4 linked regions of the Oryctolagus cuniculus genome follow. The protein of the gene in region 3 purifies or fractionates together with the protein of the main gene of each other region. This does not show direct contact. Links are inferred from orthologs where the notes say so. Each region holds a gene or a part of one and is shown on either strand. Other genes may lie near its edges.

Evidence for each region.
Region 1: the proteins of DNAJB1 (region 3) and BAG2 purify together in Homo sapiens (affinity purification with mass spectrometry; 4 studies listed by BioGRID and IntAct, with this or other methods). This does not show direct contact. The link is inferred for Oryctolagus cuniculus from reciprocal best matches to the Homo sapiens genes DNAJB1 and BAG2.
Region 2: the proteins of DNAJB1 (region 3) and PYCR3 purify together in Homo sapiens (affinity purification with mass spectrometry; 3 studies listed by BioGRID and IntAct, with this or other methods). This does not show direct contact. The link is inferred for Oryctolagus cuniculus from reciprocal best matches to the Homo sapiens genes DNAJB1 and PYCR3.
Region 4: the proteins of DNAJB1 (region 3) and BAG5 purify together in Homo sapiens (affinity purification with mass spectrometry; 3 studies listed by BioGRID and IntAct, with this or other methods). This does not show direct contact. The link is inferred for Oryctolagus cuniculus from reciprocal best matches to the Homo sapiens genes DNAJB1 and BAG5.

The regions. Positions count from the first base shown.
Region 1 is NC_091436.1:112,403,577-112,410,716, forward strand, and holds the start of BAG2 (BAG family molecular chaperone regulator 2), read right to left. Parts: upstream 4,127-7,140; 5' UTR 3,965-4,126; coding exon 3,852-3,964; intron 1-3,851. UniProt on the Homo sapiens protein: Co-chaperone for HSP70 and HSC70 chaperone proteins. Acts as a nucleotide-exchange factor (NEF) promoting the release of ADP from the HSP70 and HSC70 proteins thereby triggering client/substrate protein release.
Region 2 is NC_091437.1:167,533,031-167,540,382, forward strand, and holds the start of PYCR3 (pyrroline-5-carboxylate reductase 3), read right to left. Parts: upstream 4,209-7,352; 5' UTR 4,208-4,208; coding exon 4,048-4,207; intron 2,881-4,047; coding exon 2,816-2,880; intron 1-2,815.
Region 3 is NC_091447.1:63,135,420-63,142,573, forward strand, and holds DNAJB1 (dnaJ homolog subfamily B member 1), read right to left. Parts: upstream 4,408-7,154; 5' UTR 4,300-4,407; coding exon 4,089-4,299; intron 3,457-4,088; coding exon 2,876-3,456; intron 2,771-2,875; coding exon 2,540-2,770; 3' UTR 1,627-2,539; downstream 1-1,626. UniProt on the Homo sapiens protein: Interacts with HSP70 and can stimulate its ATPase activity. Stimulates the association between HSC70 and HIP. Negatively regulates heat shock-induced HSF1 transcriptional activity during the attenuation and recovery phase period of the heat shock response.
Region 4 is NC_091451.1:46,386,100-46,393,502, reverse strand, and holds BAG5 (BAG family molecular chaperone regulator 5), read left to right. Parts: upstream 1-2,611; 5' UTR 2,612-2,747; intron 2,748-2,812; coding exon of another isoform or gene 2,813-2,935; exon of another isoform or gene 2,936-3,004; intron 3,005-3,036; exon of another isoform or gene 3,037-3,313; intron 3,314-3,606; exon of another isoform or gene 3,607-3,748; intron 3,749-4,028; 5' UTR 4,029-4,053; coding exon 4,054-5,397; 3' UTR 5,398-5,537; downstream 5,538-7,403. UniProt on the Homo sapiens protein: Co-chaperone for HSP/HSP70 proteins. It functions as a nucleotide-exchange factor promoting the release of ADP from HSP70, thereby activating HSP70-mediated protein refolding.

The sequences.
Region 1 (7,140 bases), on a different chromosome or scaffold from region 3:
GCTTCAATATTCCTGTTACTGTTATGGGAAAACGGTGGTGGAGAACATACCTGGGTTCTTTGTCTCACATGGAAGAATATTTTCTAAGTGGGTAAGCAGAGAGATTTAAAGATTTATTAGAGTCAAAGACCACCATCCAGAGCAGCATGGAGGGGGGCTCCCAAGAAAGGAAAAACCCCCAAAGCACCCTGTGGCACTGGGGTTTTTAAGTATAATTTTGGGATGAAACTGTCAATCAATAAGGTGGGGGACAACCCCAACACAGGACCTTATTTACAATTCTTCATCCTGCCTGGCTTGTTCACAATAAAACAACCATCACAAGGGTGCGATATCTAATTTGTTTTCACAATAAACTGGAGCTCTGAAGGGTAGAGTCACCACTCCCTTGCTATTTTCGTGATAAGATTGGAAGCTCCCAAGGAGTGGGCAGGCAGACACTTCTGACCTTGCTAAGGATAACTTTCTGGGGGGAACATTTTCCACCCTCAGTTTCCAGACTGCCTATTAAACCATTTGACTCTTCACATTATCAGAAGAATGCTACAACAATCACTTAATATTTTAAGCAATGCAAAACTTGGAAGGATTTTCCTAATGATTACCAAAACGATAAATTACATTCACTATCAAAATACTCTCCTGTAAAAAAGGGACGGGTGTTTTTAGTGTTAAGGCACTAAGTCAGGAATGACAACAGCCTTGCGCAAGCCACTTAATTCCCCTGGACCTCTGTGTTCTTACATTTCTAAAACCGATAACATGGGCCCTCTTTCTACCTCAAAGGGTTTTTGTGAGTTTCAAATGACAGCTTGGAGGCAAAGTGTTCTTTGAAATTACAGGCTGTTTTTACCATAATAACTATGAAGCCATCTGCCCTGGAATGCTAGTACCACCTCACAAGGAAACTGAAGCAGATGAATTATCCATATAACCCCCGACCCGGGACTTCATTTCCTGTGGCACGATAAGCACAGAAAATGGCAGACAGGAGGAGGGAGGCAGCCATTACATGATCAGTTTTGGGAAATATGTGAGCAGCCCATCTCCCAGTCCTATCATTTTGCTCTCTGACAGTCTCCAAAACCCATTCCTCAAATATTTTCCTTACCATTCTGAGCCTTCTGGGGTCTACCCGGTATCTGGCAGATCCCGGGTGTTTAATATTTACTGAACTAAAGGCTACTTGAAAATGCATTTTCCTGTCAGTAAAATCATATCATTTCTACATTTAAAATTATGATGTATTTAAGAGAATTAAGGCATGAAGTCTTAGAGCCTTGCGAGCCAGACTTCCTGTGTTCAGATTTAAAGCACACTACTCTCTGGTGGTATGACCTTGGATGAGTCTTTAGTTTCTAAGCCTCAGTTTCTCATCTGTAGAGTGCAGATTACAGTAATTTCCACACAGATATGGAGCCTGACATGTAAGCTGTATTATTTATAAATGATAAATGTCTAAAAAGATAATTAGCAGAGTAGCTTGAGCTATTGACAAATGTAAAATTATATTCCATTCAGAAATCATGAAAACCAGGAGAGAAAGGAACTGCCTCTTTGGGGACGCAATCTGGAGACAAAATGCAGTCAAAAAAGCAAGGCTTGTGTAACAATCAAGTATCAGAAACAAACTGAAGAAGACTGCCAAACATTTTACAGCATTTTAAGCATCAGGAAGGCCAAATATTCCAGGTCATCAAGCACTGGGTATAATCCTGTTTTTGGTTTCAGAGGGAAGAAGTTTCCTTCCCAAACATCAAACTAGCATTAGAGAACAGTACATGCATACTTCTAAGTACAAGCTAAAATGCCTCACTCTACTAACATAACTACTTTATTAGTGTTACTTAATATGACCTCAAACGATGAGAATAAATTATATATGAATTTCATGTTTGAAAACTCGACCTCCCTCTAGGCACGATTCTAGTTTTCACTGGTACAATGCTCTGCACATTGCCTGCATGGTATCATCCAAACTTCAGTTAGGATCAGCAGTAGCATTTTTCTCTATTTTTGCGAACCTTCTGAAACACTTGTTTAGTTTTCAGTATTACTCTTTTTAAAAGGAAGAAACAAAACTCTAGAATTATTCGAGAAGCCCTTGAAATGAACAATTAACACACATATTAATCAGACTTTCCTCCTTCAGCCCAAGTGGTAATTAAGCAACTTGTAATTTAATCACTTATGTGCAGTAATCAGAATTCATTTGACATTCACCAAATATCAGAAATACAGTAATACCCCAAATCAGAGGCCTTGTTTTAGAAGAGGAGCACTTGACTGCTTTTGTGCCTACCACATGTGAGGACAATGACTCAGCTTGTCATTGGAAGGAAGGAAGGAAGGAAGGAGGGGGAACATGCTCCTCATTCCTATAAGAGAAAACCTGTTCTCTCTGACTGGGGGAGAGAGGCTAGTAGAGAACGCCTGGAGAGAAGTCTAAGGTACTTACTAAGCTGCTACACAAAAGAAATCCCATTCCTTAGAGGGGCTTGGAGTAGCTGAGGCCACTGTAGTTTCACTCCACTTTCTCTGGGTGTTGAACCCAGGTTTGCTGATTCTGTGGCAATCCATAAGGAAGCATTGCTTCTCTCTTCAACTTGTCGCACCCTAAGTGAACCCCAGTACCTGGCTTAGGGCCCAGGTGGCTCTGTTGCCATCCCTGGAATTGTGAGTGGAGAATTTCACACTTTCTGGCGATTTCCTCCCAGTAGTAATAGCGAATCTTTTTTTACTAGCAGACACTGTGGTTACTGGTATCTTTTCTGGGCAAACAGACACTTCTTCATGTTTTGCTATATTAATGGAGGGAGAGAAGGACACACAATACAGCACTGTTTACACTTTGGGGCTTCCACACTCCTTTGCGCCTTCAGAGCTTGGCAGAAACTACTGAACCAAATCCTATGTACAGTGTCAGGGGGCTATGCGTGTCTCAAGATTTTCACCTAACTATACCTGCACACAACCACAACGCAGACACTAACTTCAGACACAAATGTTCATAGATAGTACATATACGTTTTTATACACTGTTAAAGGAAAAAGCCATTTCCAAAACTTATTACTACTTAGACATTCTATACAAGCCTATCACTATCTTACTTACTTAAAACTGTCATCAAGGGAAAAAGGAAAAACTGTTGACTATCTTTTCATGCTTTCGGGCCAGTGACTAGCACTTTTAAGGTCTCAGCAGCATCTTTTATGTAAGGTAATAAATATTAAGAAAATAAATACTGGAACACAGTATGTGGGCTTAGGAGAGCAAAGGCAGCCATAATGTCTTTAATCCACGAGGTACAGGACCCAGTTACTGTTCCTCCTACAGCCCCTCCCTTGGCCTACTGCTCTACAATTTTTGCTCTTAGATGCATTCCTGGGGTCCCCCCCCTTTCTGCTCTGAAGTGCTTTGGAACAAGAAAACTTCACGGGGGGTGGGGTGGGGTGGGGAGAACACTTTAATCTTTTTCCCTTAACTCGCAACCTTGGGGGGGGGGGGCTTAAAGATCTTTGGGACCCCAGAGAAGGTTCTGGAAATAATCTCCATTACCATCACCCTAACTTTTATCTTCTCTGGGTATTCGCTAAAACACACAGGTGTGTTCACGTGTCCATCAATAACGTGCTCACAGGTTAGCTGGGACGGAACGCGTTTTCTCTCAGCGAGGAGAGGAAAACCTGCCAGGACACAAAACCGCACCGCCTCCATCCACACCACCCCAACAAGCAACTTCTCTCGCCGCCGCTTGCCCCAGGCGGGGCCTCCGCCCGCCGGCCGCCCACGCGGCGAGCAGGACGCCCGAGCCCGCCGCGTGCCCCTCGCCGGCCCGCCGGCCGCTCACCTGAGCTCGAGCTGGTCCAGACTCTCCAGCAGGCGGCTGGAGCGGTCGGCCATGGAGGAGGAGCGGCAGAAGCGCCCCTCGTTGGCTTTGGCGTTAATCTTCGCCTGAGCCATCTGAGCCTCTGAGGCGGGGCGGCCGAGAGGTCACCGGCCTCTCCCGCGGTGGCGAGTGGAGCGCTCCCGGGCCGCAGGCGTCGCCGTCACCGCGCGGGGCGCCCGCCTCTCTCTGACGCCCGCGGGGGCGGCTCGCGAGGACGCGCCGACTCCGCCGCGGCTGCGTGGCCAAAGAAGGGCAGGCGCGGCGCGCGCGGGCTGGGGGTGGCGGGGCCTGGAGGGGGCTAGCTGGCCGCAAAAGCTCGAGGGTGGGCCTCAGGAGCTAAGGCCTCCGAGACTCTGGGATGGGAGGACCCAAAAAGGGGAGCACCTAACGTAGTCGGCTGCTCTCTGCTCCTGGAACAACCCGAAATCGGCGCGGAGACCCAGCGAACACCCAAGCCCCGACTCTTGGTGCAGCATAAAAGTAGCCAACTCCCCCTATGCGGAGTTACCATACCACACGGTGGGCAGGCTGTGGGTGCATGGCTCACCGATGGTTTCGTTTACTTCCTTTCAGCACCCAGAATTCAAAGCAAGAACGAAAAAACATTCAGGTTTCTGCCGACAGGGAGAAAAGGTCCCTTTGCAAAGCAGAAGACATAGAAGGACACCGCCTCCTCGGCAGTCTGTACTTGACCAAGTCACTTTTCTGAGAATAACAGCCTGGACCACACTGACGCTACTGAGAAAGAATGAAGCAGCTATCCCGTCTTTGCCTGTCTAGCTCCAGATGCGAAGCAAAGTGAATTTAATTCCCACACATTCCAAGAAAGGGAATTTCACTTTTATGCCTACAAAAATTTTTTCTGGTATTTTAAATAGTTGGTAATGGTCACTTCACACCCAACGTATTAAATCTGTTAACGACAACAACAAAAATCCAGTAAATATCAGTAAAAGATGGAGCAGGGCCGCTGTATTTAAAATATTGTGCTTTGCTCCGCTCTCAGGATAGCTCACGTTACAAGAATGTTCGTATTGCAAGTATGAAAACTGAAGGCATGGAAATGGTAATAACAGCTTTGAAGCTGAATCACAACCTTTCATCAGTGACCATCACCACTTAAATACTTTAGCAGAGAGGGAACTCTTAAGCCTGGATCCCAATTCCATCTGTACTCATTCTAAATACTAGTAAGCTTTTGGTATAGGGTGTTATTTGACCGATCTCATTAAACATATTTTTGCCAAACATTAAACTCGATATCCCAACACATTTTGTGAATGGCTTGATGTCTCTCAAGAGACTTTAGATTCACCTTGGACTTTCTCTCATGTCCTAGATCCAGTCCATCAGTAATCACATGAATGCTACCTTCACAGTATGTCCAAGATTCTTCCCTCAGCTCCATTTCCACTAGGTCCACGTAACCTGGTCAACTTGCACCTGGATCATTGAGCGTCCCTCTTTGGTTCATACTTCCACTCTTGCTTCTCATGTGTATTCTCAACTGCAATAATCCTAATTAAGGTGGATGACAGCACTTACTCTCAGAAACCTTCAGTAGATCCTCAGATCAGCATAAAAGCCAAGGTCCTTAGAAAAGCCTCAAAGTTGATCATTACTCTCCTAGCCCATGCTGCTTCAGACCTACTAGCCTTCTTGCTTTTCCCTGAGTATACCAAGCACCCTTCGAGAACTTCTCATTCACTTGGAACTTTTCTCAACCACAGATACTTCTTTTTTTCCCTAAGATTTTATTTTGAAAGAGAGAGAGAATGAATCTTCCATCCACTGGTTCACTTCCCAGACGGTCATTAACAGCCAGGCCTGGGCCAGGCTGATGCCAGGAGTTTCATCCAAGTCAGCTGTGGGTGGCAGGGGCCCAAACACTTGGGCCATCTTCTGCTGTTTTTGCAGGCCATTAGCAGGGAGCTGAATCAGAAGTGGAGCAGCTGGGACACAAATCAGCACCCATAAGGCATGCTGGTGTCAAAAGCAGTGGCTTTAACCACTATGCCACAACACCAGCCCCTTCAATACTTCTTGACTTATAATGGGTTAGTCATAATTGTATTCATAATTTTAAAATATTCTAAGTCAAAGACACTTTTTTTTAAAGATTTATTTTATTTGAAAGACACAGAGAGAGAGGTAGAGACAGAGAGGTCCTCCATCTGCTGGCTCACTCCCCAGATGGCCGCAACTGCCGGAGCTGCGCGGGTCTGAAGCCAGAAGCCAGGAGCTTCCTCCAGGCCTCCCACATGGGTGCAGGGGCCCAAGGACTTGGGCCATTTTCTACTGCTTTCCCAGGCCACAGCAGAGAGCTGGATTGGAAGAGGAGCAGCTGGGACTAGAACCAGCACCCATATGAGATGCCGGTGCTTCAGGCCAGGGCTTTAACCCGCTGCACCAAAGCGCCAGCCCCATCAAAAACACATTTGATATGTTTAATCTATCTAACATAGCTTAGCAACAGCACACTGTAGTGTTTAAGTTGCTTATTCTTGGTAGCTTACCAAGAACTGAGGCTTTCTGCCACTCCCCAGTATCTCAAGAGAATATAGTTCCACATCACTAATGAGCAAAAAGATCAAAATTCAGGATTCAAAGTATGGTTTCTGTTTCCTCACACTATTGTGAAGTCAAAAATTCACGTCAAACTTTTGTTAAATTGGGGACCAATGTATTTGCAAAGCTTATCCCCGTGCCTTCTTCAGGTCACTGTGCATGTTCAATGTTCAACTGAGCTGTTTTCTGACCACCCTTTTAAAAAAAACAAGTCCCAGGGCCAGTGCTATGGCACCAGCATCCTTATAGGGGCCGATTCATACCACGCTGTTCCTCTTCCAATCCAGCTCTCTGCTTTGCCCTGGGAAAGCAGATGACCCAAGTGGTTGGGCCCCTGTACCCACGTAGGAAACCCCGGAAAAAGCTCCTGGCTTTGGATCAGCCTAGCCCCAGCCATATGACCATTTGGGGAATGAACCAGCGCATGGAAGACCTTTCTGTCTATAACTCTACCTCTCAAATAAAATCTTTAAAAAAAAAAAAAAATTACAAGTCCCCTTAACCCCTCCATCTCTGAACTATTCCATTCCTTCTGTATTTTCCTTTATTACACTTATCACCATATTTGCTATTTTATTGACTTTATTTATATTCTAACAAACTGTCCAAACCCCTCTGCCATATTGTGCACTGTGAGGGCTTTGTTTTGCCCACTGGTGTATCTCAAGTGTTTAGTATATTT
Region 2 (7,352 bases), on a different chromosome or scaffold from region 3:
TGACCCCCTACGCCGCGGAAGGCTGCCTGCGTTCCCCCACGTGGCCACGGCCTGGCCTGCACGTGTCTGCACCAGCCCCGCCCACCACTGCAGCACACACGTGCACACCCCTGCACACCCCTGCTCAGGCCTCCAGGACCCTGCCCAACACTCTCAGCGTAGACACTCTCAGAACCTCAGCTCCAAAAGCCCCGCTCCCTGGCCCCGAGAAGCAGCTGAGGGACTGGGGTCGACAGGCGTCGCCCTGGGCCCCTGGGGGACCCCTCGTCTGTCGCTCCCCCTCTTCGTGGAGGAACGACACAGAACCCTGCGCTGTTCTTTCGTCTGCTCGGCCCTCCCCGGGTTTGCTGCTGGTTCTTCCCGGGTTGGCTACTATCCCTTCCACCTCCGTGGAAGGGCGGTTCCCCCTGCCACATTCCCCACTTCCGCAGGGGAGCGGCACACCGCCGGCCAGCTCTCTCGGGGGCTTCTCGGGGGCTGCTCAGGTGTTCCTCAGGTGTTCCCCTTAGATGTTCCTGGTGCATGTTGTCTCTCTCCTCCTTTATAGTCCTCTTCCACCAATCCCAACTCGGCTGCCCACACGCCGAGTACGCTGCTCTCCTCCAATCAGGAGCAAGTCCTACTGTTTATTGGTTGAACTGGAGGCAGCTGGGTAGAAGCTGTTTTCTCCTCTCCCAGCGCCATATTGTGGGAGAGCAGGTGCATAGAATAAGTCTTAATTCGAGTAACTTAGTCTAGTCCAGGTTGCTCCCCACAGATCCCCCTTTCTTTTTATTTTTTGGCGTTGATACGCGCCTGTCTTCGGTGCCCCGTGGCACACACTCTGCTCTGCTTGCTAGAGTTGCCACAGGTTCTTACAAGTCCTATCAATCAGGCAAACCGAATCCGGGTCCTCTCTTCGCCATGTTGTGAGGAGGTTTTTAGGCGCTGATGCGTGCCTGTGTTCGGTGCCCTGCAGCGCATGCTCTGCTCTGCCTGCAGGGGCTTACAAGCCCTAACAATCAGGCAAACCGAATCCAAGCCTTCTCATTGCTGTATTGTGGGGGAGACTTATTAGTGTTGGTTCGTGCCTATCTTCGGTGACCTGCAGCTCATACTCTGGTCGAGCTGCCTGCTGGTGCTTACCGCCTTACTAATCAGGCAGACCGAATCCAAGCTCTCTCATTGCTGTGTTGTGGGGAGGCCTTATTGATGTTAATTCGTGCCTGTCTTCGGTGACCTACGGCGCATAAGCTGCTAGCCGCCCGCAGGTGCTCATCGCCTCACTAATCAGGCAGACCGAATCCAAGCCTTCTCATTGCAGTATTGTGGGGAGGTCTTTCTATTTCTCTATTTCTCTATCTCCAGGCATTCCTATTTCTCCCATTTTACTTCTGTCTGCCAACATTCCTATTTCTCTCATTTTACTTCTAAACTTCTGTTTCTCTTATCCCCGCGGCTTCCCGGCGGCGCCCGCCCCGAGGCTGCTTCTCGGCACCTCGCCCCGCGGCAGCTTCACGGCTCTGCGCGGCTTCCCGGCGCCTCGCCCCACCGGCGGGTTCCCGGCTCTGCGCGCACGCTCCGCAGTCTCCACGCACTTCGCGCCTGCACCACGGCCTCACGCCAGCCCCGCGTTCCCTATCTATTCACGCCCCGTGCTCTCTCTGCACGCGGCGGCTTCCGCGAATGTTTCCGCCACCATCGGCATTCAGTCCAAGTTCCCCGGACTAACCTGGCGAATTCCAACCTGGCGGCCCACGTCTCTGCCTCTGGTTCCAGATTTTCGCCTCTTGCTCCCCGGGCTGACTTGAAGAATTCCAAGATGGCTTCCGTTTCCACCTTGGCCTGCACTTGCGGCTTCATCCTCCCTAACATTTTTCTCTACCCGGTATGTTTCCCTAAGTTTTCTTCCAACAATATTCCTCCCTCATTTCTCCTGGCCTCTCCCCACAGTCCGTATCCAAGTCTAAGTTTCTTATAGGTTTCACTTTCACTTTCAACCTGCAGTCCGTATCTGAGTCTAAGTTTCTTCTTGCTTTCACTTTAAATCCTAACTTCTTTCCCACAGTCCGTATCCGAGTCTATGCCTAGGCTTTCAATAGCTTCTTCTGGCACCTTTTTCGTCCGGCTTTTCCCTAGGCTGTTTGCTAGTCTCTCTCTCTGGCATTTTCCACTTCTTCCCGTTTCTTCCCTCTTAGGTATCCTATCCGTCCTAAGTTTCCTATCCGTCCTGGGTTTCCTATCCGAGTCACGGCACCACTATGTCGCTCCCCCTCTTCATGGAGGAACGACACTAAGCCCTGCCTAGGCTTCCTATCCGAGTCACGGCACCATTATGTCGCTCCCCCTCTTCGTGGAGGAACGACACAGAACCCTGCGCTGTTCTTTCGTCTGCTCGGCCCTCCCCGGGTTTGCTGCTGGTTCTTCCCGGGTTGGCTACTATCCCTTCCACCTCCGTGGAAGGGCGGTTCCCCCTGCCACATTCCCCACTTCCGCAGGGGAGCGGCACACCGCCGGCCAGCTCTCTCGGGGGCTTCTCGGGGGCTGCTCAGGTGTTCCTCAGGTGTTCCCCTTAGATGTTCCTGGTGCATGTTGTCTCTCTCCTCCTTTATAGTCCTCTTCCACCAATCCCAACTCGGCTGCCCACACGCCGAGTACGCTGCTCTCCTCCAATCAGGAGCAAGTCCTACTGTTTATTGGTTGAACTGGAGGCAGCTGGGTAGAAGCTGTTTTCTCCTCTCCCAGCGCCATATTGTGGGAGAGCAGGTGCATAGAATAAGTCTTAATTCGAGTAACTTAGTCTAGTCCAGGTTGCTCCCCACACTCGTCCACTCACCCGGAAGTGGCAGAGGTTCCTGTCTGTCGGTGCGCTGGCCATCACATGCTGCGCTTCCACCTTCCCTGGAGAGAATGGAGAAGGCAGAGGGGGCGGTGAGAGGGTGGGAGGAGTCTGCTCCCCCCGCCCCGCCCAGCCCTGGCCCCTAGAGACTGGGTGATGTCCCGCCCGCCTGGGGCGACACAGCAGGTGCACTGATTTCATGGGGCAGCCACCGCCCCCTGCCTGCTGCTGGACATAGGGGCCAGGAGCTTGGCCTGTCCAGTGAGCACACGGACCCCAGGGGCTTACTGGCCGGGGCAGTGGGGAGGGCAGCACAGTACGGTGGCCCAAAGGGAGCACCAGGCCAGGGAGTTGTCCTGGTTCTGAAGGCACCTGACCACAGAAGGCTCACTGGGGCCAAGCTTCCCTGGAAGGGGGTGGTGGTGCTGGGATGGCCACGTGGCAGGGAGCTGGGGAGACCGGGCTGAACAGGAAGACAGCCCATCAGCCCCTGGACACAGCCGGGCATCAGGGTGGCCGCTTGGGCTCAACATCTGTGACAGCGGCTCCCGGAGCCCGTGGAGCCGGGGAGGCAGGTGATCCCCGAGACCTGCTGGGCGCTCTCCCGGCTGCTCCCCACTCCTCTGCACCATGAGCTCTGGCTGACGAGGGCAGAAAGGCAAAGGTCGCCCCTCCCGGTGCCCGCGTGGCAGGTGCAGCTTTCCAAGCTCTGGGAGGGTGCGCGGGCGATGCCCCCTCCCCCCGCCCAGGAGACACCTGGCTGTCCGCATCTCCCGACAGACAGCCGCCGGGGATGCCCAACACCCTAGGGCCGCAGACGTCCACAGGACTGAGGGCGCACAGACGGAAAAACCAGCCTGGGGCTCAGGAGGGTGAACCTCACCCAGGCCGTGAGGCCAGGAAGCGGGCCACGCGGGCCAGCACCGTCTCCAGGAGCCGCCCACGTAACCGCACTTCCAAAAGCGGAGGAGACGGATGGAGCTAACCTAAGAGCGCTCTACGTGACAGCACGTCCAGGCACGGTGCGGAAGCGAGCCACGTCCTCGGCCTGCCTCTCCCCTCCTCTCCCCTCCCCTCCCTCCCCGCCCCTCTCCCCAGTCCTAGGTCTACAGAACCCGGGAGCGCCGCACTCCGCACGCCAGCCCGCGTGGCCGCGGACAGCCGGCTGTGCGCCCGGGAGCGCGGTCCGGAGGGGACCCGCGGGCGCCCTCCCGCCCCGAGCCCGCTACCTGCTCGGATGAGGCCCCGCGCGATGGCCTCCGCCATGCGGCCGGCGCCCACAAAGCCCACGCGCCGCGGAGCCGCCTCCGCCGCCATCGCCGCTGCCGGCACTGGGCCCGTCCCCCGCGGCTCATTGGCCGAGGTCGCCGGAGAGCCGCATCCACCCATTGGCTGAGCGCCGCGGGGGGCGGGGAGGGGCGGGGCGTCGCGGAGCAGGGCGCTCTCCGCCGCCGGTGGGTGGGTCCGGGCGACTGGGCTTCCAGGAAGGGCCACCCGCTCGGAGCTGGTGAAAGGCCCGCGCGCGCAGACCCGGGAGCCCCGAGCGCCCGCGTCAGCCGGCTCCCGGAGCCGGGGCCTCCCCGCTGCCCTGGGGCGCAGGAGCGCTGGGCGAGCCCGGGGCGGGCGTCTGCGTGCCTCAGCACATCTCGGGTTGTGGGGGTCTCACCCGCCACCCGGGCTGAGGCGGCGAAGGCGTTCTGTGGTCTCTGAGCCCCATGACGTCCGCCGCGCTCCGCACCGGCGAGCCCCACCCCCGCATCCCTTCCGAACCGCAAGGCAGCGGCCGGACGGGTGCACCTGTCCCTCACGCCGCGGTCCACTGGGCTGTGGCAACAGTCCCTCCGCAGCCAACACGCACGCACACGCACCCACGAAGAGGCACGCGTGTGCGCATGCACGCATCCACAGAGGCACACCCACACAGGCACTCCTGGGCGCACACACACCCATCCACGCAGAGGCTCGCGTGGGCACCAACACACGTGACATGCCAGTCTCACCAAGATTCGAGAGCAAACAATGCCGGGGAGGGAGCGATGGGGACTGGGAGGCTGCTCCGGTCACTGCAGCCGGAAGGTGCAGATGCTGGACAGCTGGGCCCACAGTGCTGGCCCTCCCTGCTGCTCTGGTCTGGCTCTGCGCCTCTCCCCGCGTTCACACCGACTCTCGGAGGTCGACAGCTAAGGGAGGTGGGCAGAAGCTCTGACAGCCGGGGTCACGCTCCTGGCAGGTGGGCAGCAGACCAGGCCCAGGGAGAGGGTCCCTGGGAACCAGCGTTTGAGTGGGGACGGGAGAGTGGGGCAGAGGCTGCAGTGACATGGCCGGGAGGGACAGCAGGACACTGGGACCCTCCAGGGCTGCAGCCCGAGCACCCAGTTAGAGGGCGATGGAAGCAGTGGGCTTGGTTTTCTAGGAGATGGGATGGGTGGGGCCACGGGCTGACCCCCCCAGGGAACTGTGGTCTGGATGCTTTGTGCCAGTGTGAGGTCGCCCTGCCCACCTGCAGCCGTCCCTGCTGCCCCCTCTGTCCCTGCTCTCCTGGCTTCCTGGGACTGCGATGCCCTGGGACAAGGACTGAGGGACACGGCAGGGACCTGTAGCACCCAGCCCCGTGTCACAGTGGAGGACAGGAGCCGGCTGCCTTCGGTGAAATGAAACAGATAAGGGCCACCAGTCACAGCTGTGGGGACAGGACCCAGTGGCCCAATGCCAGCCGCCCTGGCAGTGGGCAGCTCCGCTCCTGTCCCAGCCGTCCCTGGCAGTGAGCAGCTCCGCTCCTGTCCCCACCGCCCCTGGCTGTGGGCAGCTCCGCTCCTGTCCCAGCTGTCCCTGGCCGTGAGCAGCTCTGCTCCTGTCCCCGCTGCCTCTGTCCCCGCCGCCCCTGGCCGTGGGCAGCTCCGCTCCCGTCCCCGCCGCCCCTGGCCGTGGGCAGCTCCGCTCCCGTCCCCGCCGTCCCTGGCCGTGGGCAGCTCCGCTCCTGTCCCCGCCGCCCCTGGCCGTGGGCAGCTCCGCTCCTGTCCCAGCTGTCCCTGGCCGTGAGCAGCTCTGCTCCTGTCCCCGCTGCCTCTGTCCCCGCCGCCCCTGGCCGTGGGCAGCTCCGCTCCCGTCCCCGCCGCCCCTGGCCGTGGGCAGCCCCGCTCCCGTCCCCGCCGTCCCTGGCCGTGGGCAGCCCCGCTCCCGTCCTCGCCGTCCCTGGCCGTGGGCAGCCCCGCTCCCGTCCCAGCCGTCCCTGGCCGTGGGCAGCTCCGCTCCCGTCCCCGCCGCCCCTGGCCGTGGGCAGCTCCGCTCCCGTCCCAGCCGTCCCTGGCCGTGGGCAGCTCCGCTCCTGTCCCACACCATGTTGGCTGGAAGCCCATCAGCCACTTGTCACCTGCCAAGTGCATCCCTGGACCTCTGCTGGGCCCCTCCCACGGTTCCAGACCTGCCTGGCCCAAGGGGCATTCCCTGGACCCTCACATGGACAGGACCCGCACCCACAACCCAGGTCCTGGGCTTCAAGGCCCATGAGCCAGAGAAGCCAGCACCCCGGCGCAGCAGGACTGGTGGTGGGAGACGGCTGAGAGGCAGTCAGGGACGGCTTCCTGGAGGAAGAGCCACTTCAGGGGAAACCTGCAAGGTGGGGAGGCCTGGGGCAGGAACTCTGGCTTCCCAGAGGGAAAGGGGTGGTGACAGATGCTAGAGGCTCAGCTGGGCCCAGGGGTGCAGGCGCCCAGGTGTGGGCTCGGGGGTGCAGGCATCCAGGTGTGGGCTCGGGGGGTGCAGGCACCCAGGTGTGGGCTCGGGGGGTGCAGGCGCCCAGGTGTGGGCCTGGGAGTGCAGGCACCCAGGTGTGGGCTTGGGGGTGCGGGTACCCAAGTGTGAGCTCGGGGGTGCAGGCACCCAGGTGTGAGCTCGGGGGTGCAGGCACCCAGGTGTGGGCTCGGGGTGCAGGCACAGGTATGGGCTCGGGGGTACAGGCACAGGTGTGGGCTCAGGGGTGAAGGCACAGGTATGGGCTCGGGGGTACAGGCACAGGTGTGGGCTCGGGGGTGCGGGCACCCAGGTGTAGGCTCGGGGGTACAGGCACAGGTGTGGGCTTGGGAGTGCGGGCACCCAGGTGTAGGCTCGGGGGTGCGGGCACAGGTGTGGGCTCGGGGGTGCAGGCACAGGTGTGGGCTTGGGTGTGCGGGCACCCAGGTGTGGGCTCGGGGGTGCAGGCACAGCTGTGGGCTTTGGGGTGCAGGCACAGGTGTGGGCTCGGGGGTATAGGCACAGCTGTGGGCTTTGGGGTGCAGGTACCCATGTGTGGGCTTGGGGGTGCGGGCACCCAGGTCCGACTTGGGTGCCCGGGACAGGGAAAGTCACCAATGCTGCCCAGGTAACACGGGAGACAGGAGCGTAGGTGAGGACAGCAAGGGGCTCCCGGGAGACCATGGCCAGGGATGGGCCCGGTCCTGGCGGCCCCCACACCAGGAAGGCTGTAGGCAGCAGGACCTGTGTCCACGCCCCAGCACCACCCCGCGGGGAGACTGGCTCAGCCTTCTGGACTCTGGTC
Region 3 (7,154 bases):
ATGCACACACACACACACACACAGGAAGGCTGTTTTGCATGTGTGCATGGGCACAGCAGGACAAGAGCTTCATGCCAGGGAAGGGTGTGGGCCCCCGGCCTCCAGCGCAGGCCGAGGGGATGTCTGAAGGTTGTCCTGTGTTCAGGTGAGTTGTAGAAATGTGGAATGTGGTTGGTATCACGCCTTCGGTGGCAGGTGGAGCAGCTCTGGCTGTGTCAAAGTGGAAGCAGCTCCCAGCTGTGCTGAGAGAGGTGGTGTGGGAAAAAAATGAATCCATCAAAGGGACTGCCCAGAAGCTGGGGAGGACGGGCATGATGGCACGTGCAACAGACACCTCTGTGTGTGTGTGTGCACACAATGAGCCCCAGCTTTGGCCTCTGGGCAAGCTAATTAAAGTGCTTCTGAGCGCCAGGCCAGGCCAGGCCAGGCTTTCTCGCTCCACTGCAGCCCCTTTTGTCTTTTTAGAACCACACAGATCTCCCCTTTCAAAGCAGCCCAGCCCACTCCCCTTGTCTCTGCAGGTTCTCAGAGCCCTGTCTACCCTGAGGCTTCCTGCAGCTCAGGTCAAGTTCACGGGGACCCTCTGCCCAGCAGAGCAGCCTCTGGGATGGGGCTGGTGGCCTGGGTGACCCGGGATCCCGCCTGGGGCCAACGCGACCTTGGTGCCCAAGATAGCTCAGTAACTGGCTCCCTTGATAACAGCCCCTCGTGGGTGACTTTCCAGGGGCCTGCAGTGGTCTCATGGCTCAACCTGGCTGCTCTTGGGGATAGGGACCCCAGACCTGCGCCGACCAGTGGGAGCCGCTAGCGACTGTGGCCCTGAGATGTTCCCTTTAAAGACATTTAAACTGAAGACAGCTGCTTGGGACACCCCTTGGCAGAGTGCTTACAGCCTTCTGCGCACCTGCACCCTAGGAGGTGCCTGGACATGTGGGAGACCCTGACAGAGCGCCTGGTTCTGGCCCAGCCTGGCCCAGCCCTGGCTGCTGCAGACCCTTGGGAATGAACCAGCAGATGGAAGCGCTCTCTGCCTTTCAGATAAAAACATCACCGCACAGACACATTTTGAAAAGTAATGCTTAAATAAGATACATGGGAGGTTCTCCAGAGCTACAGGTTCCCGGACTAAGTGACTACATTGTTTTACGTGTGTCAAGTTCACTTCCAAGCAGTGGCTACACTTCTGTAGCAAAGTAGCAACACATCCTTTTAAGCCCGTGGTAATTACTTGCCTTAGAAAAACCAGTTCCTTAAAAAAGTTACAAAGTCACAGCAGCGTCCCTAGCCAGGACCAGAAACCAGTCTTTCCCAGGGCGGGGCCGGCCAGCTGCAAATTTCCTTGTGCGTTTCGGCCAGGTCTGAGGAGAGGCACTGTGGGGAAGGGTCAAGGGCAGCCCCACAGCTCCCTTGGGCGGCAGTGACCAGCCCTGCCCTTGCCTGCCCTTGGCCTCAGACTTCACAACCCCAGTGTGAACCCAGCGCCCCTGGGAGGCTCTGGCTGTGTGCACTCAGGCAGGGCTTTATCTCGCCCCTGCAGGCACCCTCCCCCCTCCCGCTGGAACCTCCCACCCCCCGCACCCCCCCACCCGGTGCCCAGAACCAAACACGAGCCGAGGGCCGCTCCCGGGAGGTTTCTCATACAGTCTTTAATGCCATCACCCTGCACAGCGACAAGTCACACACACTTTGGTCTCATGTCGGCAGTGGCAACGTACAATGAGTCTCAAGGGGCTGAGCACCAGACGGGTGTCCCGGGAATAGACCCCGCCTCCGCCCGGGGCCATGGGGGCAGGGCAGGGCCCGTCTGGGGGCACCCCGGCCTGACGGGGAGTTATAAAAACATTTACAGGCTCCTGCAATCGGGAGCAAAGACCCTTTTATCAAAAGGGATTATAGCTATGTCTCTATACATCTCTCCAGGGTTGTGCAAAATTCCGAAGGATCAGATCCCTTTGAGAGAGAAACAAAACGAAACGAAACAAAACAAAGTCCAGAGTCCATGGAACAGAAAGGGCACCCGGAGCTGCCCAGAGCTCGCTCTCGGCAAAGCACGGCTGGGCCCCGTCTCCGTGAGCTCCCGGGCTCCCGTGGTCCCGCTGGAAAGAGGAAGGTATTGCTTGTGGGCGCCGGCCGGGCAGTTCTGCAGAGTCTAGCTTTCTCCACCTGAGATGGCCAGGATGAGCCGGGGGGTGGGGGTGGGGGGAGGCATGGAGCAGGGGAGACAAAGCACAGGACCCAGCTGCAGGTGCGGGGGGGGGGAGGTGTCTGGAGGAGCGTGGGGCGGGGCGGGCCTCGTCCTGCTCTGCCCACCACCTGCCGCTCCGCCGCCCGAAAAACCAGCACAGTCGAGTGCACGACTTTCAAAGATTGTAATATATTCTCTGGAAAACATAGAGCAGGATCAGGCTCCCGGGCCCTCCCGCCCTCTCACGGTCCACGAGTGCCGGGGTAGCCGGAGACGCTGAGCTCTGGCGAGGTCCCTGGGGCCGGCGGCGCCCGGATGATGCGGGGGCGGTGGGTGGGTGGGTGTGTGGGGGCGCTAGATGGGCAGAACCTGCTCCAGGACGGTTCTCGACGTCTGGGGGATCCTTTCGGGGAAGACCACCTCAAATTCGATGATGAGGTCCCCGCGCTTCTCCGGCGTCTTGGGGAGGGGCAGGCCTTCGCCCGGCACCTTCCGCCGCATGCCGGGCCTGATGACGTCTTTGAAGACAACGGGGATGCTGCGGCCGTCCAGAGTCGGCACGTTCACCGTGCAGCCGCACAGGGCCTGGGCGGGGGTGGGGGGGGGTAGGACAGCGGTCAGCCGCGAGAGCCTGGGGAGCCCCGCCCGCCCCCAGCGCACCCCCACGGCTCCCCACCCCCGCGGCCTCACCTCCCGCAGGCTGACGCGGGCCGGGTAGATGACGTCCGAGCCGTCTCTCTTGAAGATGTTGTGTGGCTTGTCCTTGAGCACGAACACGATGTCGGCGGGGATGTTGCTGGAGGTCTGGTCCCCCTCCTTGGGGAAGGTGATCTTGGTGCCCTCTTTCCAGCCCCGCTTCACCTCGATCGTCAGGATCTTGTCTTCGTTCCGGATGCTCTTGCCGTCGGGGTTCAGCCGCTTGTGGGAGATCTTCATCTTCTTGGTGCAGCCGCTGTAGATCTCTTCCAGGGAGACCCTGAGGTCGTGCGTGACGGGCGGGTCTTGCTTCTTGCGGGTGGGCTCCTGGGCCGGGCGCGAGCGGCCGAAGTTCATGTTGGTGAAGCCGCCCACGCCCATGGGGAAGCCGGCGAACGGGTCGTCGATGTCCATGCCCTCTTCCCCGTTCCGCTGCCCAAAGAACGTGTCAAAGGGGTTCCGGCCTCCGAAGAACTCGGCAAACATGGCGTGCGGGTCGCCATGGAACGTGTAGCTGAAGGACGTCCCGTTGGCCCCGCCGCCGCTGCCCCCGCAGGGGCCGCCGCCCTTCAGGCCTGCGAAGCAAAAACGCAGGGACGTGAGGGGGCGGGGCGGGATTGCTCTCAGCCCGCCGAGGGCCGGACCCCAAGCTTGCACCTGCCGCTGCAGACACTGGGGGCCTCGGCCCGCAGGTGACAGCCACCAAGGCCCGGCCCCTGCCTGCTCCCGGCTGATCCTCCCAAGAATCCACCAAGAGACCCAGACATGACCCGGGGTGGGGGAGAGGGGGGAAGAGCGGCGGCCACGTCCCCTGAGCCCAGAGAGAACGTGGGCAAATGCAGGCCAACCAAAGACACCCCGGAAGCTTTCTGAAGCTCTCCCGTCCCAGCACCAATCGCCGCTGCCCTGATGATCGGAAAAAAAAAAAACACACTCTACTGGCTCAGGACCGAGCCCGGAAGCCGGTGAGTCACCGACGGGCAGCTGGGCAGGCCGAGACCCGGCCGCCCCCCGCCGCGCCCCCCGCCCCGGCCCGCACCGGGTGCAGACCCAGGGAGGGGCCGCCCGGACGTGCTGGAAGCTTCTGCGCGAGCGGCGAGCCGGGGCTCCTCCTCCGCCCGCCGGGGGCCCTCTCAGCAGCCCCCCACCCCCGGCCGGCGGCGCGCGTGCCTCGGTTTCCCCGCGCGCCGCGGCCGCGCGCACGCACCCTCCTCCCCGTAGCGGTCGAAGATCTCGCGCTTGCGCGGGTCGCTCAGCACGTCGTAGGCCTCGGCGATCTCCTTGAACCGCTCCTCGGCGCCGGGCTCCTTGTTCTTGTCCGGGTGGTACCGCAGCGCCTGGCGGCGGTAGGCCCGCTTCACCTCCTCGTCCGACGCGCCGCGGGCCAGGCCCAGCGTCTGGTAGTAATCCTTGCCCATGGCGCCCGCCCGCGGCCCCGCCGTACCCGGCTCCGCCGCCGCCGCCCGGCCCGACTCTATATACCCGTCCGGCGGAAGCTTCCAGAGCCCGCCAGCCCCCTCCAGAACCTTCCGCCCCGCCCCCCGCGCCGCGCCGGCCAATCGCCGCGGCCTCGGCCCCGTGACGCCCCCATCCGGGGCGGGGCCGGGCTGCCAACGGCCGCCCGCGTGCGGCCACGCCCCTTCCCTCTCAGACCCCCCCCCCCCGCCTCTCCCGGCAACGCCTCCCCGCGGCGAGGGCACTGGGCAGGCGGAGGGCCCGCCCACCCCCTCGGGGAGAACCAATCACGACTTCCCGCTCACTGTCTTCTAGGATCTGGCAGGCTGCGAGCCCTGTCCGTTGCCGGGTCCACAGGTTACCGCAGCGGAACGCGGAGCTCCGGGAAGGGGCGGGGCGAGACAAAGCCCCGCCCCTCGAGGTGGCCCCGCCCCTGTTCCCAGCAGATATAAACCTGGCCTCCCGTCTCGCAGGCTGGGTCGTGCAAAGTTCGGCAGGCTTGGTGCTGTTTAGCACAAGTGCAAGAGTGGCACGCCCTCCTCAGCCAGCGGGGAGGGGACAGTGCGAGCCACGTCCACTCCCCTGGAGAGGGTCCTGCCCTTCCTGCCCCTGGTGTCACCCTTGCCGCTGAACTTGCCGATAAACTTGAAATTCCCTTTTCCTTGGCTTCCCTCCCTCCCAGCCTGGGCTGGCGACCAGGACCAGAACCGGGTTCTGCCTGTTCCTAAACAGTCCCGGTATTTGGCTCCTCAACAGACCTGGTTTCTGGCTTTAAAAATTTTTTTTTATTGATTTCATTTTATTTGAAAAGCACAGAGAGAGAGAGAGAGAGAGAGAGAGAGAGAGAACTTTCATTCAATGGTTCACTCCTTAAATGCCTGCGATAGCCAAGGTTGGGCCAAGCCAAAGCCTGGAGCCAGGGACTCCATCCAGGTCTCCCACGTGGTTGGCAGGGACCCAAGCATCACCTGTTGTGTCCCAGGATGCTCATTAGCACGGAACTGGAAGGGCAGCAGAGGAACCACGAGTGAGCCCAGACGCTCCCATGTGGGATGCAGGAGCTCTGGTTGGCATCTTTTTTTTTTTTTTTTTTTTTAAGATTTATGTATCTGGGGGCCAGCGTTGTGGTGCAGCGGGTTGAAGCCCTGGCCTGTGGCACCAGCACCCCATATGGGCACCGGTTCTAGTCCTGAATGCTCCTCTTCTGATCCCTCTCTCTGCTATGGCCTGGGAAAGCAGTGGAAGATGGCCCAAGTCCTTGGGCTCCTGCACTCATGTGGGAGACCTGGAAGAAGCTCTTGGCTCCTGGCTTTGGATCAGTGCAGCTCTGGCCATTGCAGCCATTTGGGGAGTGAATCAGCAGATGGAATATCTCTCCATTTCTACCTCTCTGTAACTGTCTTTCAAATAAATAAATAAATTTTTAAAAAAGATTCACCTATCTATTTCAAAGTCACGAATCATAGAGAGAGGGGGAGAGTCTGAGAGAGAGAAAGAGAGAGAGAGAGGTTTTCCATCTGCTGGTTCACTCCCCAGTTGGCCGCAACAGCTAGCACCAGGCCAGGCTGAAGCCAGGATCCAAGAGCTTCTTCTGGGTCTCCCTCCCACAAGGGTGCAGGGGCCCAAACACTTGGGCCATCTTCTACTGCTTTTCCCAGGCCACAGCAGAGAGCTGGATGGGGAGTGGAGCAGCCAAGACTCGAACGGGTGCTCACACGGGATGCCGGCACAGCGGCCAAGACCTGGCGGCATCTTAACGGCGGCACCCCAGTCCCCGCTGCTTTCACGTGGGTGCCTCTCTCAGCGGAGCAGGATTCACATGTGGGCCTCGCGATCTCTCTGGCTGTGGCTGATGGGGAGAAGGAGGCTCAGAGGGAGGACCAAGGCTGCCTGGGGTGTGGGGTCGGCAGCCGTGGCTCCTGTGTGCCTATGGGTAGAGGTGCATGGAGTCCGCGGTACGGGCGCTTTCTGTGTCTGGTCTTTACTGCACAGTGCGGGGAGCAGGTGCATCCACATCACGGGGCTCGGCAGCTTACCTGAGTCACATTGGTGAAATGCCCGGGGCAGGCCTGGCACTGAGGAAGTGACGTCAGAGTGATGACTGACAGACCCGTGCTGATCCACGGTGTGCTGCTATGAGGCACCCCCGGGCTCCTGGCAGGGCTGCCCTGGCACAGGCTGTGGCTACTGGGAAAGGGGGCGTGGCCTTCCCCTTCCCCATTGGATGGCTCTCCCTGCTCACTCACTGACCCCCAGGGCACCCAGTCCTGACCATGACAGGCACTGGCCAACTTAGGAGGACAGGAGTGGGGTGGGGGCGCCCCCTAGCCCAGCAAAGAAATAGGGGTCTTGGGGCCAGCGCTGTGGCGCAGAGGATCAATGCCCTGGCCTGCAGTGCTGGCATCGCATAGGGGCGCCCGTTCTAGTCCGCGGCTGCTCCACTTCCGATCCAGCTCTTTGCTGTGGCCTGGGAAAGTGGTAGAAGATGGCCCAAGTCCTTGGGCCCCTGAACCCATGTGGGAGACCTGGAAGAAGCTCCTGGTTCCTGGCTTCAGATCAGTGCAGCTCCGGCCGTTGTGTGGAGACCTCAGCCCCCCAAGGGCTCATGACTCGGGAAGGGGCCGCGATGATTAGTTCTGCGTGTCAGCTTGGCTATGCTCCAGAACCCAGGCTGTCCAGTGAAACACGAGCCTTAGTGTGGCACTGAAGGCGTAGGGTAGACAAGGTTAGGGGGATGTCGCCATCAGCTCACGGTGAGGACAAATGACCTCTCTCTCTCTCTCTCTCTCCCCTTTCCTCCCTCCCTCCCTCTCTCTCT
Region 4 (7,403 bases), on a different chromosome or scaffold from region 3:
GTGGCCCCACCGGGCGGGACCTGTGCGTGGCGGTGTCCACGGGGCCACGGGGCGAGCCTGTGCAGGAAGCACCAGCACCACCACACACGACTCCACCGCTGCTTCAGCAACACAGTTCACGGTCAAAAAGCACAAGAGGGGCCGCTGTCGCGGCGTAACAGGTGCCAGCACCCCGTACCGGCACAGGTTCAAGTCCTGGCTGCTCCACTTCCCATCCAGCCCCTGCTAACGCTCCTGGGGAAGCAGCAGAGGACGGCCCAGCCCTTGGGCCCCTGCCACGCGCATGGAGACCCAGGTGGAGCTCCTGGCTCCTGGGTTCACCCTGGCCCAGCCCTGACCACAGCAGCTGTCTGGGCAGTGACCAGCAGCAGATCTCTCTCTCTCTGTCTCTAACTGCCTTTCAAATAAATAATGTATGCATGCCTTAAAGATCCTGCAGGTAAGCTACGAGACCCCCGGCGCACACCACCCAGGACGCGGTCTGGGAGGGGCAGGGTGCGGGGACACTGGGCAGCTGAGGTTTCGCTGGGCTGGGGTGAGAGCGACGCCTGACAGGAGTTCTGCAGTGCTTCTGTTAGGAGCCAGGGGCCAGAGAGGGAATGCAGCGCGCGGGACGGACTCAGGGGCGGAACAGAGAACGAAGGAGAGACACGGACACCAGAGAGACGCGGACACGAGGGAGAGACGGATACGAGGGAGACATGGACACGAGGGAGAGACGGATACGAGGGAGAGATGCGGACACGAGGGAGAGATGCGGACACGAGGGAGAGACGGATACGAGGGAGACATGGACACGAGGGAGAGACGCGGACACGAGGGAGAGACGTGGACACGTGGGAGAGACGTGGACACGAGGGAGAGACGCGGACACGAGGGAGAGACGCGGACACGAGGGAGAGATGCGGACACGAGGGAGACGCGGACACGTGGGAGACGCGGACACGAGGGAGAGATGTGGACACGAGGGAGAGACGGACACGAGGGAGACGTGGACACGTGGGAGAGACGTGGACACGTGGGGGAGACGTGGACACGAGGGAGAGACGTGGACACGTGGGAGAGACGTGGACACGAGGGAGAGACGCGGACACGAGGGAGAGACAGACACGTGGGAGACGCGGACACGAGGGAGAGATGTGGACACGAGGGAGAGACGGACACGAGGGAGACGTGGACACGTGGGAGAGACGTGGACACGTGGGGGAGACGTGGACACGTGGGGGAGACGTGGACACGTGGGAGAGACGTGGACACGTGGGAGAGATGTGGACACATAGGAGAGACGTACTCACCCTGGAAGGCGCCCTCGGGAACACCCGACCTGGGGCGCCCGCAGCAGGCCCAGCACACACGACTGCCCTGGGCAACAGCGGCTCCCCAGCTCCCTCCAACACCCGGCAGCACGGACACTCGGACCCCGAGCACACGGCGGGGGTCACAATGCTGGACGCGGCCAAGCGGCTCCGGCTCTGCCCTGCCTCTTCCGGAGAGCACCGGACCACACGGCCCCAGACGGCCCTGGACCACACGGCCCTGCACGCCACTGGACCACGCGGGCCCTGCACGCCACTGGACCACGCGGGCCCGCACAGGACACGACCACACGACCCGCACAGGACCAGACCACACAGCCCCAGACGGCCCCGGACCACACAGCCCCAGACGGCCCTGGACCACACGGCCCTGCACAGCACCGGACCACACGGCCCTGCACGCCACTGGATCACACGGGCCCGCACAGCCCCTGACCACACGGCCCGCACAGCCCCTGACCACACGGGCCCGCACAGCCCCTGACCACACGGCCCGCACAGACCGGACCACACAGCCCCGCACAGCCCCTGACCACACGGCCCGCACAGACCGGACCACACAGCCCCGCACAGCCCCTGACCACACGGCCCGCACAGACCGGACCACACAGCCCCACACAGCCCCTGACCACACGGCCCGCACAGACCGGACCACACGGCCCGCACAGCCCCTGACCACACGGCCCTGCACGCCACTGGACCACACAGTCCCAGACGGCCCCGGACCACACGGCCCTGCACAGCCCCTGACCACACGGCCCGCACAGGACCTGACCACACAGCCCGCACAGCCCCTGACCACACGGCCCGCACAGGACCTGACCACACGGCCCGCACAGCCCCTGCGCGGGTCCGGTTCTCCAGCAAGCAGCCTGCGGGACCTGTTGCGGCGCTGGCACCGGCGCCCAAACCGGCCGCGGAAACGCCGCACCCCGCGCAACCCTCTCGTTGCTACACGGCTGCCCCCGCCAGCGCCTTTCAGAGGCTGAATCCTCCCCAGACACCCGCGAGCCTGGTGGGTGTGCGCGCGTGGGAGCGGAAGTCGGGGCGGCGGCCGCACGAAAACCCGCAGGCCCAAAGTGTCGCAACGGCCAGCGGGCTCCCTCTCGTCGCTCCGTAACCACTGCCGGGCCCGGCTCCGCGCCGGCCTCACCGCCCCTCTCGTCGCTCCGTAACCACTGCCGGGCCCGGCTCCGCGCCGGCCTCACCGCCCCTCTCGTCGCTCCGTAACCACTGCCCGGCCCGGCTCCGCGCCGGCCTCACCGCCCCTCTCCTCGCTCCGTAACCACTGCCCGGCCCGGCTCCGCGCCGGCCTCACCGCCCCGGCCCGCCAGCGCCTGAGGACAAGCACGGCCGGCCGCACGCCGCGGCCGCAGCCACTCGCCGAGCCCCTCCGGGCGCTTCTGGAACTCGCCCTCGGGCAAACACCAGGTCCGTGCACCGCGGCGGTGGGCGCCAGACCGGGGGCGGCCCGGCAGCCCCGGCAGCGCGCTTACCCCGCTCGGCGCTGCTTCCCTGCGCTCCGCACCGCGCTCCGGGGCCCGCCGCCCGCCGCCGCCCGCGAAGGCCCGGCAGAGGGGCGGGACGAGGGTCCGCGGCGCCCGCCGCACCGCCGCCATGGGGCCGCGCCCACCTTGCTCCCGCGGCACCCGGCGGCGTTCGCGACGGCGAGCGGGGCTGCCTTACGGCAGGGTCGCAAAGCCGGCGGGCGCGCCGCGGAGGGGCCGACCGCGCGCTTTTCCCGCGGTGACACGGCTCGCGGAGGGGGTCTGTGGGGACGGGGCGGCGCGGAGGAGGCCTGCCGGGACCGGGCAGCGCGGGCGAACGCCGGCGACAGTTCCCCGATCCCTGTCGTCCCAGAGGCCCGGGGCGCGGCTCGAGGTGAGGCGCGGGCGCGGAGCCGTCTTTTCCCAGGGCTTGGGGGTGGTCGGCCCCGGACGGGGGCGCCGCGGGCTCTGCGGAAGTCGTGGGCGGCAGCGGAGCGCGTGATGGCGCGGGTGAGTGGTGCGGGGGCGCCGGCGATCGCGTCTGCTCTCTCCGCGCGCGCGCCGGCGCGGGGCTCCGCCGGGCCACCCTGCTCCCCCCCACGGGCTCCCACGCGGCCGCGCCTGGCCGGGTTCCCCGCCGGGCTGGGCCCCGCTCCGCGCCCCTCCCGCCCGTCCTCGCGGGGCGCCCGGGCCTCGGCCTCCCCCGCGCGCCCATTGTGAGGTCAGGGCCGGCGGCGAGCCGGGGGCCCGGGGCCGAGACGCCCGGAGCGGCCGCTGCGGCCAGTAGCTGCCGCCGCCGCCGGCCCCTTCACCGGCCGCCCCGTCCAGACCGAGCCGGGGGGCTGAAGGGGATGCCGTTAGGGGCCCGGCCCCGCCGCCGCACCCGGTGAAGGGCTGATCTTCCACCTCGCCGCCGCGCCTCCGGGGAGCCGGGACCTCCGCCGGGTAAAGTGCGAGAGGGAGGGAGGCCCGGGCCCGCGGCGGCGCCCGCGGGCCCTCGTGGGAGGCAGTGCAGGCAGAGTGGGCGCTGTCCCGGGCGGGGAGCCCCGGCGGAGCTTGGGGCCCCGTCGCGGGGCCTGTCCCGCATTCTGCTGGCCCGGGCGTGCCCTGCGGGCTGTTCTGTGCCGCGGGCCGGGCGGCCCCTCGGGCTGGCCCTGGGCCTGCCGGCCGGGGTCCGCGGACCTGCCGGCGGCCGCTCTGAATGAGCTCTCTTGTCGCCCCGCAGCGCTCGTGAGCCCAGGCAGCGGAGCATGGACATGGGAAACCAGCACCCGGCCATCAGCAGGCTGCAGGAGATCCAGCGGGAGGTGAAGGCCGTGGAGCCGCAGGTGCTGGGCTTCAGCGGGCTGGCGGACGACAAGGCCTACCGGAGGCTGGAGCGCATGCTCACGCGGCAGCTGTTCGAGATCGACTCCGTGGACACCGAGGGCAGGGGGGACGTCCAGCAGGCGCGGAAGCGGGCGGCGCAGGAGACGGAGCGGCTGCTCAAGGAGCTGGAGCAGAACGCCAGCCACCCGCGCCGCCTGGAGATCCGGAACCTGTTCCGCGAGGCGCAGGCGCTGGCGCAGGACGAGATCGCGCCCTTGCACAGCGGGGGAGGCTGCGCCGCGGACGAGGTGGAGGAGCGCCTGCAGGACATCGTGCTGCGGCTGACGCACGTCAAGACCGGCGGCAAGGTCTCGCTGCGCAAAGCCCGCTACCGCGCGCTGAGCAGGGTGTGCGCCGTGCAGGAGATCCTGGAGGACTGCCTGCGGAAGCAGCCGTCGCTGCCGCTGTCCGAGGACGCGCACCCGTGCGTCGCCAGGATCAACGCCGTGATGTGCACGGTGAGCAAGGCCCGCGGCACGGTGGTCGCGCTGCTGATGGGCGTGTGCGCCGACGAGACCTGCCGGCACCTGTCCTGCGTGCTCTCGGGGCTGCTGGCCGACCTGGACGCGCTGGACGTGGCCGGGCACCCGGACATCAGGAACTACCGGAGGGAGGTGGTGGAGGACATCCACAAGCTGCTCAAGTACCTGGAGCTGGAGGAGGAGGCGGACACGACCCGCGCCTTCGACCTGGGCCAGAACCAGTCCATCCTCGAGATAGAGAAGGTGCGCGCCAGGACGCGGGAGGTCAGGGCCGAGCTTCTGCGCGCGCAGAGCCCGGCCGAGCTGTACCTGAGCTCCAAGACGGAGCTGCAGGGCCTCATCGGGCAGCTGGACGAGGTGAGCCTGGAGAAGAACCCCTGCATCCGGGAGGCGCGCAGACGGGCGGTGATCGAGGTGCAGACGCTGGTCACCTACGTGGACCTGAAGGAGGCGCTGGAGAAGAGGAAGCAGAGCGTGGGCGCCGAGCACCCGTCCCACCAGGCCGTCTGGAGCGTCCTGGGGAACCTGTCGGAGATCCAGGGGGAGGTCCTGTCCTTCGACGGCAATCGCAGCGACAAGAACTACATCCGGCTGGAGGAGCTGCTCACCAAGCAGCTGCTGGCCCTGGACGCGGTCGACCCGCAGGGCGAGGAGAAGTGCAAGGCCGCGCGCAAGCAGGCCGTGAAGCTGGCGCAAAACATCCTCAGCTACCTGGACCTCAAGTCGGACGAGTGGGAGTACTGACCGCGAGTGGGCACCGGCCGCGAGGGGGCACCGGCCGCGAGTGGGCACCGGCCGCGAGGGGGCACTGGCTGCGAGTGGGGCACTGGCTGCGAGTGGGGCACCGGCGCGAGTGGGGCACTGAGCCCGCGAGTGGGCGCCCGCGAGTGGGAGCACTGAGCGGCGGGTGCGGAGCCCGCGCGGCGGCCCGGCGTGTTTTGCACTGCGTGAGACCTCCACATCTCGTGGCGCGCCCGCTCCCCAGCCGGGCTGTGGTTTGTACTTGCATATTTCAGTCTCAGTATTTGTAACTTGATGAAATTATATTCAGTACCTGCTGCTTTTGATGTCGCTAAGCAGCTGTCATTACAGGACGGCCCCTTCGTCCCCTCCCTCCCTCCCGGGCGGGCGCGAGGTCTGTGGCTGGTGTTCCCCGCTTTCCATCAGAAAGGGAAGTAGATGTAGTTCTTGTGATTGTAAGTGGGGGTGTGCACGTATTAATACGCAAATTTAAGCGTAAACTGGGCATGACTTCACGGAATACTGGAAGAATTATGAGAAGGGGGAAGTTTTGGTTCCACAGTGCAGTGGGGCACAGACCCCCCCACCCCCCACCCCGGGTTTGCGCTGAGGCCCCGCCCAGCCCGGGGGTGGGTGTGTCCTGCTCCGGTCTCTGTCTCTGAGAAGTTAACCCTCTGTGTGCCGCGTGATCATGAAGACACCCAGCAGCCTCGGAGAGGGGAGCGGAGCGCCGGCTGTCAGACGCCCTCGGCTGGGTTTGCTGTGGATCTGCACCCGAGGGCCCGGTGCCAGGAGGATGAGAACCCCGGGCCGGTCACAGGAGGCGGCGTCTGCTGCCCGGGGCCGCTCCGAGCCCACCGCCGGCAGGGAGAGGCTGCGCCCGGCACGCGGCAGGGCGGCCCTGTCCGCACTTCCCGAGGACCGCGTGTGCCCGTGCCCTGGCAGTGCCTTTCCCGGAGCGGCCCTGACGAGGGCACGGTGCCCCGAGTCGGCAGCCGGGCAGGAGGTGAGAGGTAGAGGAATAGGCTTAAGTGCCTGCGAGGAGCTGAGGTCGGCCCCAGAGGTGCGGCCCCTCCTGCTGCACACGCAGACCCTGTGTGCTGGGGCTGGAGCCCTGGCGCCTGCCGGTGCTCAGCGCAGTCCCTGGAGTGCTCATCTGGCCCGGCGCTGTGGGCACGTTAGCGTCAGCCTCTCCCCTCAGCGCCCGACGCTCTGACAGCTGACGTCTGGTTTCTGCGGCCGTGCGGCCGGCGCACTGGAGCGGTCCGCGTCGGCCCTGAGTGGCCGTCCAGCACGGACTGCGTCCCTTCCGAGCCTGTCTGTGCCACGGCTGCTGCCCACAACCAGCCCTCACGCACGGGGCCTGTGGCGCCCGAGCCCGTGGGAGCCGCCGTGTGCCCGAGCCGACGCCTGTACGCCCGGGGTGTGTTAGCTTTTCGCGCTTGTTTTACGTCGCTGGTTTTTATCTGGTTTCGGGGGTCTGTGTTCATTTTGTCTGCAAAGCTTGTACCACGCCGGTGTTTTCCCTGGGGAGGAGTGGCCGATCGCGGTGCGCTGGGTCCCCGCCCCTGTTAACCACGGGACCGTTGGTACCGATTAGCGCCCTTGGTGATCCACGCAATAAATCTCGGCTTCATGTTTGTAGTGGAGAGAGGCTGAGTCTGGTGTGTTCCCTCTGGCCCCGCCCGTCGTCACCTGACGTGTGTGACGTGGGAGGGTCCCTGTAGTGCCAGGCCGGCGGAGCGTGGCGGGTGGGCTCCTTGCTGCAGCTGGTGGCAGTGAGTGGGTCTCTGTCCCCTTGCCAACAGCTGGGGGCGGGGCTGTGGTCTGACACAGAAATTGACCTTTTTATAGAAAGAGGAAGAAACTCTGGGACATGGTTCTGGAAACTTCTGGGAGAGGAGTCTAGAGTTACCGAGTGCGGTCGGTCGCGGTGCCTGGGCCCCGCCTCTTGCAGAGCCCTGAGGAGGGCTCGGGGTCAGCCCCGCCTGGGCCCGGCAGCCTCGCTC